Caenorhabditis elegans: one gene and its partners. The protein of the gene in region 1 interacts with the protein of each later gene in a pairwise test. Each region holds a gene or a part of one and is shown in the gene's direction. Other genes may lie near its edges. The genes, in order: eya-1, ntl-2.1 and ceh-34.

Evidence for each region.
Region 2: the proteins of eya-1 (region 1) and ntl-2.1 interact in a two-hybrid assay, tested with the Caenorhabditis elegans proteins (2 studies listed by BioGRID).
Region 3: the proteins of eya-1 (region 1) and ceh-34 interact in binary tests that used the Caenorhabditis elegans proteins (3 or more experiments, as listed by UniProt).

What each region holds. Positions count from the first base shown.
Region 1 is NC_003279.8:14,229,624-14,233,376, reverse strand, and holds the start of eya-1 (Protein phosphatase eya-1), read left to right. Parts: upstream 1-2,016; 5' UTR 2,017-2,134; coding exon 2,135-2,152; intron 2,153-2,346; exon of another isoform or gene 2,347-2,388; intron 2,389-3,753. Other genes in the region: clec-114 (PAN-3 domain-containing protein), read left to right, coding at 246-342. UniProt on the Caenorhabditis elegans protein: Tyrosine protein phosphatase. Acts probably as a transcription regulator in the embryonic and postembryonic development of several tissues including pharynx, vulva and gonads. Required for the development of anterior tissues during late embryogenesis.
Region 2 is NC_003280.10:4,374,492-4,378,244, reverse strand, and holds the start of ntl-2.1 (NOT2/NOT3/NOT5 C-terminal domain-containing protein), read left to right. Parts: upstream 1-1,786; 5' UTR 1,787-1,844; coding exon 1,845-1,854; intron 1,855-2,533; coding exon 2,534-2,653; intron 2,654-2,896; coding exon 2,897-3,016; intron 3,017-3,203; exon of another isoform or gene 3,204-3,238; coding exon of another isoform or gene 3,239-3,257; intron 3,258-3,546; coding exon 3,547-3,677; exon of another isoform or gene 3,678-3,697; intron 3,698-3,750; coding exon 3,751-3,753.
Region 3 is NC_003283.11:5,317,373-5,321,125, reverse strand, and holds the start of ceh-34 (Homeobox protein ceh-34), read left to right. Parts: upstream 1-1,548; 5' UTR 1,549-1,689; coding exon 1,690-1,724; intron 1,725-2,329; coding exon 2,330-2,420; intron 2,421-3,568; coding exon 3,569-3,753. UniProt on the Caenorhabditis elegans protein: Acts as a transcription regulator. Binds to the sequence motif 5'-TCAGGTT-3'. Binds to the cis-regulatory element of proapoptotic factor egl-1 gene and together with eya-1 activates egl-1 expression to promote motor neuron M4 sister cell apoptosis.

The sequences.
Region 1 (3,753 bases):
TGGAAAACGTGGTTTTTTCTAACTTTCAACAATTTTTGATATTTTTGCGGCTTTTCAGCATACTCTGACGCTCTTCTAAGCTCACATAGCTATGGAAACTTGAGCTTTAATGTTTTTTCTCGAAAAATTGACATTTTTGGGAAAGGGAAGGAATATAACACTTTCACTATGCGCCAGTTGGACCATTTTTTGTGAATTTTTTTATTTAAAAAATCCAATTTTTTCCAAATATTCGAATTTTTTAGATGCAACATGTCAACCGCAGGGCTGGTACCCACAAATATATGCTACAAAGGATACGTCTGCGGAGTGAAGCCCACTAGTCTAAATTCAACATTTTAATTTTATTTTTCAAACTTCCAGGTTCATAAACTGTTCGAGAAGCCCACAGAAGCATTTTTCTCGAGAGTTTCCGAATTCGACCTGCTAATTTTTGAAAGCAGTACCTGAATTATTGAAAACTTCTTATTAAGACTTCTAATTTTATTTTGCTATTCAAATTTCATATTTTCTAGAACTTTTCAACTTTTTGTCCGACTGGCTCAGTGGGATTTTGGGTGACTACCAATTTCACCACCTGGGTTCGAGTCCGCGCCTTGGCATATTTTTTTGTTTTAGTGTTATTTGGCTAATATCGACATTCTGAATCCGAATTTCAAGGTCCCATGCCTTAAAACTCAATGGGTTTCCTCCAAAATCAATATTCCATTGCAAAATCGTCCCTCGTCCCATATACTACTAAAATTGAAGTCAGCGTCTCGACTCTGTGCTCCCGAAAACTGAAATATGATCGCTTCGCCGCTTTCGCACGCTCCCCATCTCCCTATACTCTCAGAAATGAGAGGAAAATAAGGGAAGGGGGTAAAATCAACAAATAATATCGATTTTTTGAGAAGGTATAAAAGTTCGAAAAAATCACAAAGCAGTGTGGAAATGTCTAATTTTTGACCGAATTCGAACTCGGAAAGTCGAAATTTAGTAGAATAACACCAAAAAAAAAATTATGCCACATCGCGGACTCGAACCCCGGACCTCAGATTGGTAGCTGGCTAGAATCCCACTGAGCCACTCGTACACAAAAAGAAATTAAGTTTGAGCCGACCTAGCAAGTCTTTCTGGTTTTGAGAGTTGAAAATTCGAATTCAGGAGATTTGTATTATTCTGAGAACAGCAAAACAAAAATTCATGCCACAGTGCGGACTCGAACCCCGGTCGTAAGATTGGTAGCCGGCCAAAATCCCACTGAGCCATTCGGCCAAATTTTCAGAAAAACTTGAAAATTACGGTTTGAGCTGATTTTTCAGCAATTTCGATATATTTTTTTTTTCCAATTTTGAACTTGTTTTAAAGTTGTTCAAGCTATTGGAGACCAAGCTTCGAAGGGATATATATATATCCCCAAAATGTTGAAAATGTTATTACAAATAGTATATAAGTCAGAAATCCGTGTTCAGCAGGGCTTGTATAGTCAAACCAATAAATAAAAAAATTTATGACACAGTGCGGACTCGAACCCCGGTTGTCAGATTGGAAGCCCTCCAAAATCCCACTGAGCCATTCGAGCAAATTTTCAGAAAATCGAGGTTTGAGCTGATTTTTAAAAATTTTGAGCATTTTTTGGGACTGTTCAGCATATGTCTCATGTGTGCTAGGTGCAATGAGCTATTAAAATTTAAGCTTGATAGTTTATTTTCAATAAAAAGTTAAAAATTTGTATGTTAAAAATTCGTGTTCAGCAGGGCTTATATAGTCGAACCAACAAAGAAAAAAAATTATGCCACAGTGCGGAGTCGAACCCCGGTCGTCAGATTGGTAGCCCTCCAAAATCCCACTGAGTCACTCGTACAAAACTTTTTTTTCAAAATTAATTTTTCAGAATCCGAAAATAATGCGATTTTCCACCAAAAGGCGGAGCTCCGAGCAGACAGCCGACTGGCTCAGACATACGGTAGCTCAGGGGTGAGAGCTCCGAGAGCTCAGAGAGCCGGCAGAGAAAACGAGAGCACACACACACACACAAATACATCAGAGTCAGTCTCTCCCTGCTTCTGCGTGCCAGTTGCTCAAATTTTTGCTCAACAATTTCCAAATCTATATATCTGAAATTGTTCGCAATTCCTGAATCAAAAAAAAAATGCTTCCAGATTCTGAGGTGAGTTATATGTCGCTTCAGGGCGCCCCCGGGCGCCCGGTACCCCATCCCAAAAGTATCAAATATCGGCATGGTGATGAAACTGGAGAAAGTTCTGCGAGAAGGGTCTGTCTGTAAGATGAGCTCTTCCAAGACACCCCCCCCCCCCCCCCCCCCCCCCCCTCCATGTACCTCCTTTCCCCATTCAGTACCTAGACAGTTCTAGCTAACCTCTCCTACAATGTTCTCTGTATTTTGTGAGTTTTCTAAACCGTGAACTTTAATTTAAAAAACTCGAAAAATCGATATTTCTAATCTTAAAAATGTTCCTGAATGGCGCAGTGGGTTTTTGGACAGCTTCCGAGCAGAAGCCCGGGGTTCGAGTCCCCGCTGTAGCATTTATTTTTGTTTTTGTGTGGATGAGCTATATAAATGATTCTTGGCTTTAATTTCCTTGTAACCCAGAAAAAAAGCTCTCGGAGCTCAAAACGAGTAGAACTGCGAATTTTAATGGTACGGGGTTGGGGTTTCAGATAAAAATGTAGATTTTTAAGCTGAAATAAACTTTTTTCAGAGCTTTTACTCTTCATTTTTCGCAATTTCGAAAATTTGGTCCAAGTGGCGCAGTGGGATTTCGGATGACTTCCAATCTGACGACCGGGGTTCGAGTCCGCACTGTGGCACAATTTTTTCATTTTACTGTTTCTAGATTAATTTGAGTGCGCTGAGTTCAAATTTCTATCTTTTAAACTTCTAGGTTGAAGTTTTTTAGTAGAAAATTCCGAACTTTGTTGCAACTCGGAAAAATAAACAAATCAATAATTAGCGAAGTTTATAATCCACGTAAACAAATGTCTGGGTCACCTGGTGCTCAATGAGCACACTTATTTTTGATTTTCACTATTTTTCCAAAAAGATACATTTTTAACTAGGAACTTGCTCCGAATCGCCTTTTAAACTGACATTAATCAGAAAAATTATCAAAAATTATGATGTACATCCCTATTGTAAATTTTGGATTTTTTTTTTGGTCAATTTATGCGACTAGTTGATTTTAGGCACCCCTTAGTCTTTTTCCAATACCCAGTTGAGTCTAGATACCCCCTCACGCAACCATATTACATCATTATATAGCCATCATTAGCCAACTTGCAACAGTTGGGGGGACCCCCTGTGGTGACGGGATCGAATTCAGAGGTCTTGGGGCTCTTCGATGCACAATTTCTGTGGCAAAGCAGTAAAAAATCCAAAAATAAAATTTCGAAAATTTGGTGCAAGTGGCTCAGTGGGATTTTGGTGGGCTTCCAAGCAGAAGACCGGGTTCGAGTCCGCGCTGTGGCTTAATTTTTTTTTTTTGGTGTTTTAGACTAATTTGGGTATAGGCATGTCGAAAATTTTAGTCACGAGTCAGAAAATGGCTCAATGAGCATAAGAGATGAGTTTGAAAATTTCCTGGCGCTTATTTTTAAATTTTTAAAACCCTCGTAACTTTAAAACTAGAATAGCAAGAAAAAAGTTTCCAACCACAAAATTGTAGGAAATTTTCCAAGTAATATTTTGCTAGTTGACAACTTTCCTCGAACTATGCTCTCCACCGAGTTATGGTAGAAATCGCAACACCT
Region 2 (3,753 bases), on another chromosome or scaffold:
TCAGGAAAAATTCACAAAACTATTCCAGAATGAAAAATGAAATCTAAAAAACTATGGAGACCAAAGTAAATGCCACAATTTTTGCATAAATTTCCATTGTGAACTTTTGGTTTTTTTAAGGAAGTGGGGAAAAAATCTAGGAAAACAACAAATTCCTAATGAAAATTCTGAAAAAATTGGTTTTCTATTTGGAAAAATGACAATTCAAGTGAATTTCAGAATTTTTTAGATTGATCTGAAAATCAAATAATTTTTTTTTCAAAAAAAAAACCATAAAACTTAGGTTTTTTTTTCTTAGGTAGAATAATTATAATTCAATTAATTGCAATTTTTCAAGCAAAAAATTCCAAAAATCATTCTTAAAAATTCGGTATTACTTGGACGCAAAGGGTTTCGGTTTTCGCCCGAAAATACGGTATCCGGTCTCGACGCGACAAATTTTTGTTAACTGCAAAAGGGTGTGCGCCTTTAAGGAGTACTGTAATTTGAAATTTTTAGTGCTGCGGGATTTCATACTTTTTTTATAAAATATACTTTTTTTTTATTGACAAACTCTGAGAAAATCATTACAAATTAAGGAAAATTCAACAAATTTGAAATTACAGTACTCTTTCAAGGTGCACGCTTTCTTGCATTTCTCAAAAAAAATTTCGTGTCGAGACCTGGTACCGTATTTTTTGTGCAAAATTGTAAAATTGGGATAAAAGGCACACAACTTTTATGGTAGAAAAACATATTACCAAAAACTACTTTCTTCCAAAATTTTTAACATCTTTTTATCTAAAAAAAAAACCAAAAAAAATCTAGCTGCATAACTGAACGATGCACCATAAAATAAATACTCACAAAATGAGCACATAGCCTTGTGTCTTGCTCGAACCCCATTTAAATTATTTACGAGCTTTTTGAACAATTTTTTTGGTTTTTTTTTGTAGTAAAGCCAGAAAAGGCCGAGATTTAGAGATCAGAAGAAGCATGCTACATACACAAATTTCCAGTTGACCGATTTAGTGAAAAATGAGTAAGGAGAGGGGGAAGAAATCAATGAGGAAGGAGCATCTTGTGTGCTCATGGGTCCATCGTTCTCACTTCTTTTACTAAAAGACCACATTCGGTTTGATTAGCTTTCTCTGTGCTTCTGCACATCCTCTCTCCTAACTCTCTATCTCTTCCCATTCATTCCATTTTCGAGAGAGAGGCAAAGAGAGGTCAGGTCAACCAACCCCCCCTCCCCCCCCCCCCCCCTTCAGTAGCAAACGCGCTCGATCGTACGGCCCGCGAGCAGTCGCGTGCATCTCCGCGCCCTCTTCCACTCGACACACTATCTCGTCGTGTTTGATCTGCAGGTTTTCGGGGGTACGGTAACACTGCAGCCCCTATTGACTGCCGGCCTCTATGGGGGACAGAAAAATGGAGAAGAAGAGAGATAGAGAGCGGCGGAGACAGTAGAGAAAATGGTTGAGGGAGAGGAGAGGGTACGTGAGAGAGAGAGAGTGAGTAGGAAATACACACACAGCATTGTTCGATTTCTCGTCGTCGTCTCTCATTTCTCCGCTGCTTTCTTCGATTTTCGAACACCACGACCGCACTGAATTTTTCGGATTCTGATCTGATCATCATCTCAGCCCATCATGTGACTGTGTTTTTTTTTGTGAATCAGCTTCATCATCAACATCGTGTTCTAGACACGCTTCTTCGACTTCAGATGTTTTCTCAATTGATCTACCCCTCCCCGTCCCGTCTAAACCGCATGCGAAACTGGTGACCAAAATCGATTTTCTTTCAGATTTATGAGTAGAACGTAGCCATCTCTCCGCATAGGATTTACCATAAGCGCAGTGCTTATGAATTCTGGTGAGTTTTGATTTTTGAAGGTTTCAGATATCTGGGTCTCGCCGCGAAGATCTTAATTCTGGATGAAAAAGCTCTCCTGTTGATGGACCCTGCCAGTGAACCAAAATTCATATTTGAACCTCTTTCCTATTACCGAGACGGTTTTTCGTCAAAAAATACGGCTCCCGGTCTCGACACGACAAATTTTCCCTAAATGCAAAAGGCTATGCGCCTTTAAAGAGAACTGTAATTTCAAGCTTTTGTTGCTGCAAGATTTTCATCGATTTTTCATAGTTTTCAAACAAAAATATATTTGTTTATTCTAAAAACTCAATTTGGAAACAATCGGTTGAAAAAATAATAAAAATCGATGAGAATTCTGCAACAACACAAGTTTTCAACTACAATACTTCTTAAAGGCGCACACACCTTTTCGCGTTAAAAACATTTCCGGGTCGAGTTTTGGTGTGGTGCAAAAATTTGAGCCTGGGGAATAATTCCGTCTTATTTCCGTGAGAAATCCTTCGAAAATTAACGTTTTTGTCGAAAAAAACCGTGAATATCAAAGTGTGTTCGTGGCGAGACCCATCCGAATAAATCCATGCGGAAAATCGATTAATTCGAATTATCGATCGCATGAAAATAATTTTAAATTCAGAAAGAAAACTTTAAATTAAAATTAACCAAAGCCTATTTTCAGTCGGTGGAGTAGCTACCGAACGACGATTGCCTCAAACGCAGCAATTTCTTTCGCATTCCAACTTTCACTCCAACGCAACAATTATTGACGAGTCCCAGTTTCCATCACTGGGCGCGAAAGGTAAATTCACTGATTTTTTTTTATTAGCTTGAGAATATTCTTAAATCTATGAAAAACTCACTGTCGAACTCTCATTCTTATTGTTAAATGGAAAAAAATTAAAATTAAAATATTAAATTTGACCTGCTTGTGTGGAAGTCCACGGAAATGTTTTCCTTGAATCTTTCATCCTTTTTATCAATATTTAAAAAAAATTAGAACAATTATTTCATTTCTCAAGGCATTTCATCGATTTCTATTCAGGAACGTCCTCACTCGGCGGCGGCGGATTCTCCCCAATCCCAACAACGAGCGGAGGTGTTTTGAACGTTGCCCAGTCATCGCCGTCGAGAGATCTTTACGGCGCACAAAGACCCAATTATGGTAAATTTTACTTTTTTCTCTTTCTGTGTGATGAAAAGCATGAAGTATCAAAAATTAAAAAAAAAAGTACGATAGCTGGTTGTGAACCGCGAATATATATTTTTTTTTAAATCAATTTTTGTTTGCTCTTTGAAAATGCGCGCGCGCGAAATTCTGATTGAACATTTTAAAAATTACAATGCGTGTTTCATTCTGTTTTGAACGCAATTGTGCAATTTTTCGATGTTGGCAACTTCTTTCCGTGAGTTTTTAGGCAAAACGCAAATTTTCTGATAAAATTTACTCATTTTTACTGCAAAATTCCGATGAATTCGAGAAAAAACCGCCGAATTCTTTTGGAAAATTTTATTTTTTATTTAAGAAAAATCAATATTGAATGTGTGCAAAAGTCCGTGACGGTGGTTGCGTATTCCATGATCGACCGTACCCCGCAGAGATTTTTCGTTCAGAATTTCCATAAAAATTCTCCGAATTTTCGCAGTTTTTGTCGTGTTCCTGTGTTGTTAAACCATGCAAAAATTAATTTTCAGCTAACCTGATGAGATCGGACCCCAGTCTAACAAATCCCGAGTTCCAAATACAGAACGAGGATTTTCCCGCGCTTCCCGGCGTCGGTTCTGGTCAAACACAGCGATCAATGCTTGGAGATCAACTGGCTAACGTACTTAAATTTAATTTAATGTCAACAAAATTTCTGCGTCGATGACAATCAAATAATCGATAAATTATTGCAGATG
Region 3 (3,753 bases), on another chromosome or scaffold:
CAAAGTTTTTTACTCAGAACTTTTTTGAGCACATAGTTAAAATCTTAAAACTAGTTGACCGGTTTTGCCACGAAAGGAGTGAGCTGAGAGTAATGAAAAATGCAAGACAGATTTTTTCAGACAGTGTTACTTCAACTCCTAAAATAATGATCAAGTGAACTTTACAGTCAATGTGCAGAAAAAACTCACAGGTCCACCAAGTACAGTTATTGCTCACGCAACACGAGTTGTAGTGCCACTTCTCGTAAAGGACGTGTGTCCAGTACATAAACATGACCGTGTAAACCAGTTATCATCTGCCATTGTTTGGACAAGAAAGCACCCGGTTTACTGGAACATCTGTACGGCTAAGCGCCCGCGCATGATGCTGCTCAATATGGTCAAAAGATACACAGAAAGCTAATGAGCATAAAGTGGAAATCAATCTTGATTTTAGCAGTTGGTAGAAGAAAAATGTTCAACCTCTGATCTAGACTCCAGAGTCAATGTTTGATTGCGCAAGGTACTTGGAGTATGATATAATAGTTTTGAGACAATGGACGATAGGTAAAGAGAGGGGATAGACTGTTCAACAGGTAACTAAAACGAAAATTGGAATTTTGGAATAAAAACTTTCCGAGCACAAAAATTTAGTCATTCAAAATCAGCGGCAATTATTTGTTGGCAATTATACAAAATGAACGATAGAACCATGTTTTTCCAGTTTTTTTTAAACCTAAAACAGAGTCAACATATAGAAAATTACTTGATTTATTTGCTAATTGTATTTATTTTAACTGAAACATTTGAGAAAGTTGTAAAATGACCTGAAAGTTGTCATTTCCCGGTTATCGAAGGTTCGAATTATTGAGCATAATTTTTTTTTGCAATCCACAACTTTTCAGGCAATTACTGAAGATTTTTACAAATGAATGCTATTTTCAGATAAAACAAGCGATTTTCTACATTTTGACACTAAATTTTAATTAAAAATGTTGGAGCAATATGGCGCAATAGGTCATTTTGTAGATATACACACTACGAAAACTTAAAAATTTAATCAAACTCAAGTGATCATCACTATGAAATGCGGGAGTGAAATAAGTGTGGTGGTACGGGTTGTGTGTGGCAGAAGCTGGTGAAATAGATATCGGTACAGGTGTAAAATGATATTCCAACTCCTGGCGTCTGTCTCCCTAACACTACTGAATGTCTCTGTATGCTGCTTCGATTCAACCCGAAAAGAAACCAGGAGCTAGCCCGAAGAAACGACGCGAGAAGGAAGGCAATGAGAAAATAATAGGCAAGTTTAGAATTTCAAACCTCGGATACTCTTACTCTGCGCTCCGGTCCAAGCGGCCTCCTCCTACTTTTTCAAGATCTCCCATTACCACTGTGTCAATTTTTTCAAAAAATTTGTTATCACACAAAAGTTCCATGAAAACTTCCAAAATGGTAGCATTGATACAGTACGATCTTTTGGTGCTCGTTCATTCCTATTCGACGGAGAAAATAGAGGCGTGGCCAAGAGCACACACACACACACTGGGGTGAGCCAACGGGGAGGCGACATTCACTGGGGGACGACAAGAGGACGACGCTCTCGGCTCACAGCACCACTCACCACCTACTCTCTTTTTGTCAGCTCCTACCGGCGCCGGATCGACGGATCTTTTAGGATCACGTCTTCTGTGATCTGGCTCATCGAACATGCAGCAGTCATATAACCCGCAAAATAGTCTGACGTAAGTTGAGATCCTTGAAGCAACAACTCGGGAAAGCTCGGGTTACGATCTTCTTTGGTAATTGTATACGTGGCAACGCGACACCGATGGGGCGGCGGTGGCGCCAAGCGATAGTTTTACTTTAGAGGATTCTTTTCCCCCTTCCACCGTCTCAGTCTTCGAATGAGTTCGTTTTTCACCGTGGTGTTCTTTTCCTTAATTCAAGGGGATTTCAATTCAAATCAGGAGTGTGGAATTCCAAAAACAAAGATCGAATTCGACGAAAAGTTGATCCAATATATTCCTTCAAAATTTAGTTCCAAAATATGCAAAAATATTTGTTTGATTCGAAAAAATGTTCGAATTTCAGTTTCAAAAAGTTCGGCAAAAACTCCAATTTTTGAGCTTCTCTACACAATTTTAAATGGGAGCGAATGTTATTTTCAAATCAATCAAATATTTTTCTATATTTTGGCACTACATTTTATGAAAAAATATAGAAACAACTTTTCGCAATATGCTATTTTGTAAAACTGCCTAAAATAATTATAAGTTTTGCCCCTCCGAATTTTTTAGTGTTTATTTTTTCCAAGTTACGTAAAAACTTTAATTTTTTGAATTTCCAGAGCAACCACATCCTACTCGGAGCAAGAAATTGTGTGTATTTGTGAGTCCTTATTCAACGAGGGACTTCAGACAGGACGGACTGAGCAATTGGTGAGTTTCTTTCAAATTCAGATCAACTTTTCATTTTTTATTTTGTTGCGAATTTTGTGGGTTCCGTCTCTTTTCGCTTCGATCATCATTTTCTCCCCTACCTCATCATAATCTTCTCCTTCTTGTTGCTTCGAACGCAGGTGTCATGTGTCACTTATCAAAAGTTTTGACAAACATTTGACGTAGTCTCTCACTGAAGATCATCTCTCTCCCCCTCTTTTCTCCAATTGCTTGAATTTTGCGGTTTTGAGTTTGGAAGAGTCGAACGATAAAAACGTGAAGCAAAAAGGTGACAGAAGGAAGCGAGTACGGTAGCTGCCGCACGCGCGCTTTTCCCTTTTTCTTTCTAGAAAGCAAACAAAAGTCCATTATGGATGAAAGCTTGATGATGATGACGATGTGGGGAAAGTGGGAGCAGATGTTGGAACCTTATAGAGACAGAAATTTAGATTTATTCTAAATGGGGATACCGTTTTGAACTTGCAACTTCTGTGCTCCACTTTGACACATTATATCTTGCCTTTTTTGATTTTCATCAACAAATTGTCAACTGACAAAATACATAGAAAATATTTTTCTATAACACATTTTGACTTTGAAATTTTTTTTGATAAAATCCATCACAGATAAGATATGAGCCGTCATAGTAAAGCAATGGAAGAGAAAGTCTAAACAGGAAAATAATACATTTTTTAAGGTCATCAATGCAACGTAATCTAAAAATTAAAAAAAAAAAAACTATCCTATTAATATTTAACAAGGGCGTCAGTACGTTGTTCTGCAAAATTGACAAAACTGTCGAATTAGTTATGGTGGTCCAATTTTTGAAATTAAAAATGCATGTCAAAATATAGAAAAATTCGATTAATTCGAAAGCGATATTTATTTTCTTGAAAACTTCATAGAGACTTGCTTCAAACTATTTGTAAACTTTAATTTATTTTTCTTGAAACGGCAATTTTCAAGTACTATTCGAGATTTTTCGCAATTTTTTCAACAAACATGAGTAACATTTTCGATTCAATCAGGTGTTTTCCTACATTTTTATTAATTTTTATTCAAAACTTTAATACAAAAAGCTAGATTTTCGTACTGAAAAAAGCAGCTTCAAAAAAAAAAAATTAAAAATTCTATATTTCAACTTTCAGGCCAATTTCATCTACAACCTTCCACAATGCTACCAAGTAATGGAATCAGTTTTAAAAGCACAAGCTCTTGTGTATTTTACAACACAAAACTGGAAGATGCTCTACAAGTTACTGGAATGCAGCAAGTTTTCCCCACATAATCACACAGTTCTACAAAATTTGTGGCTTGATGCACATTATAAAGA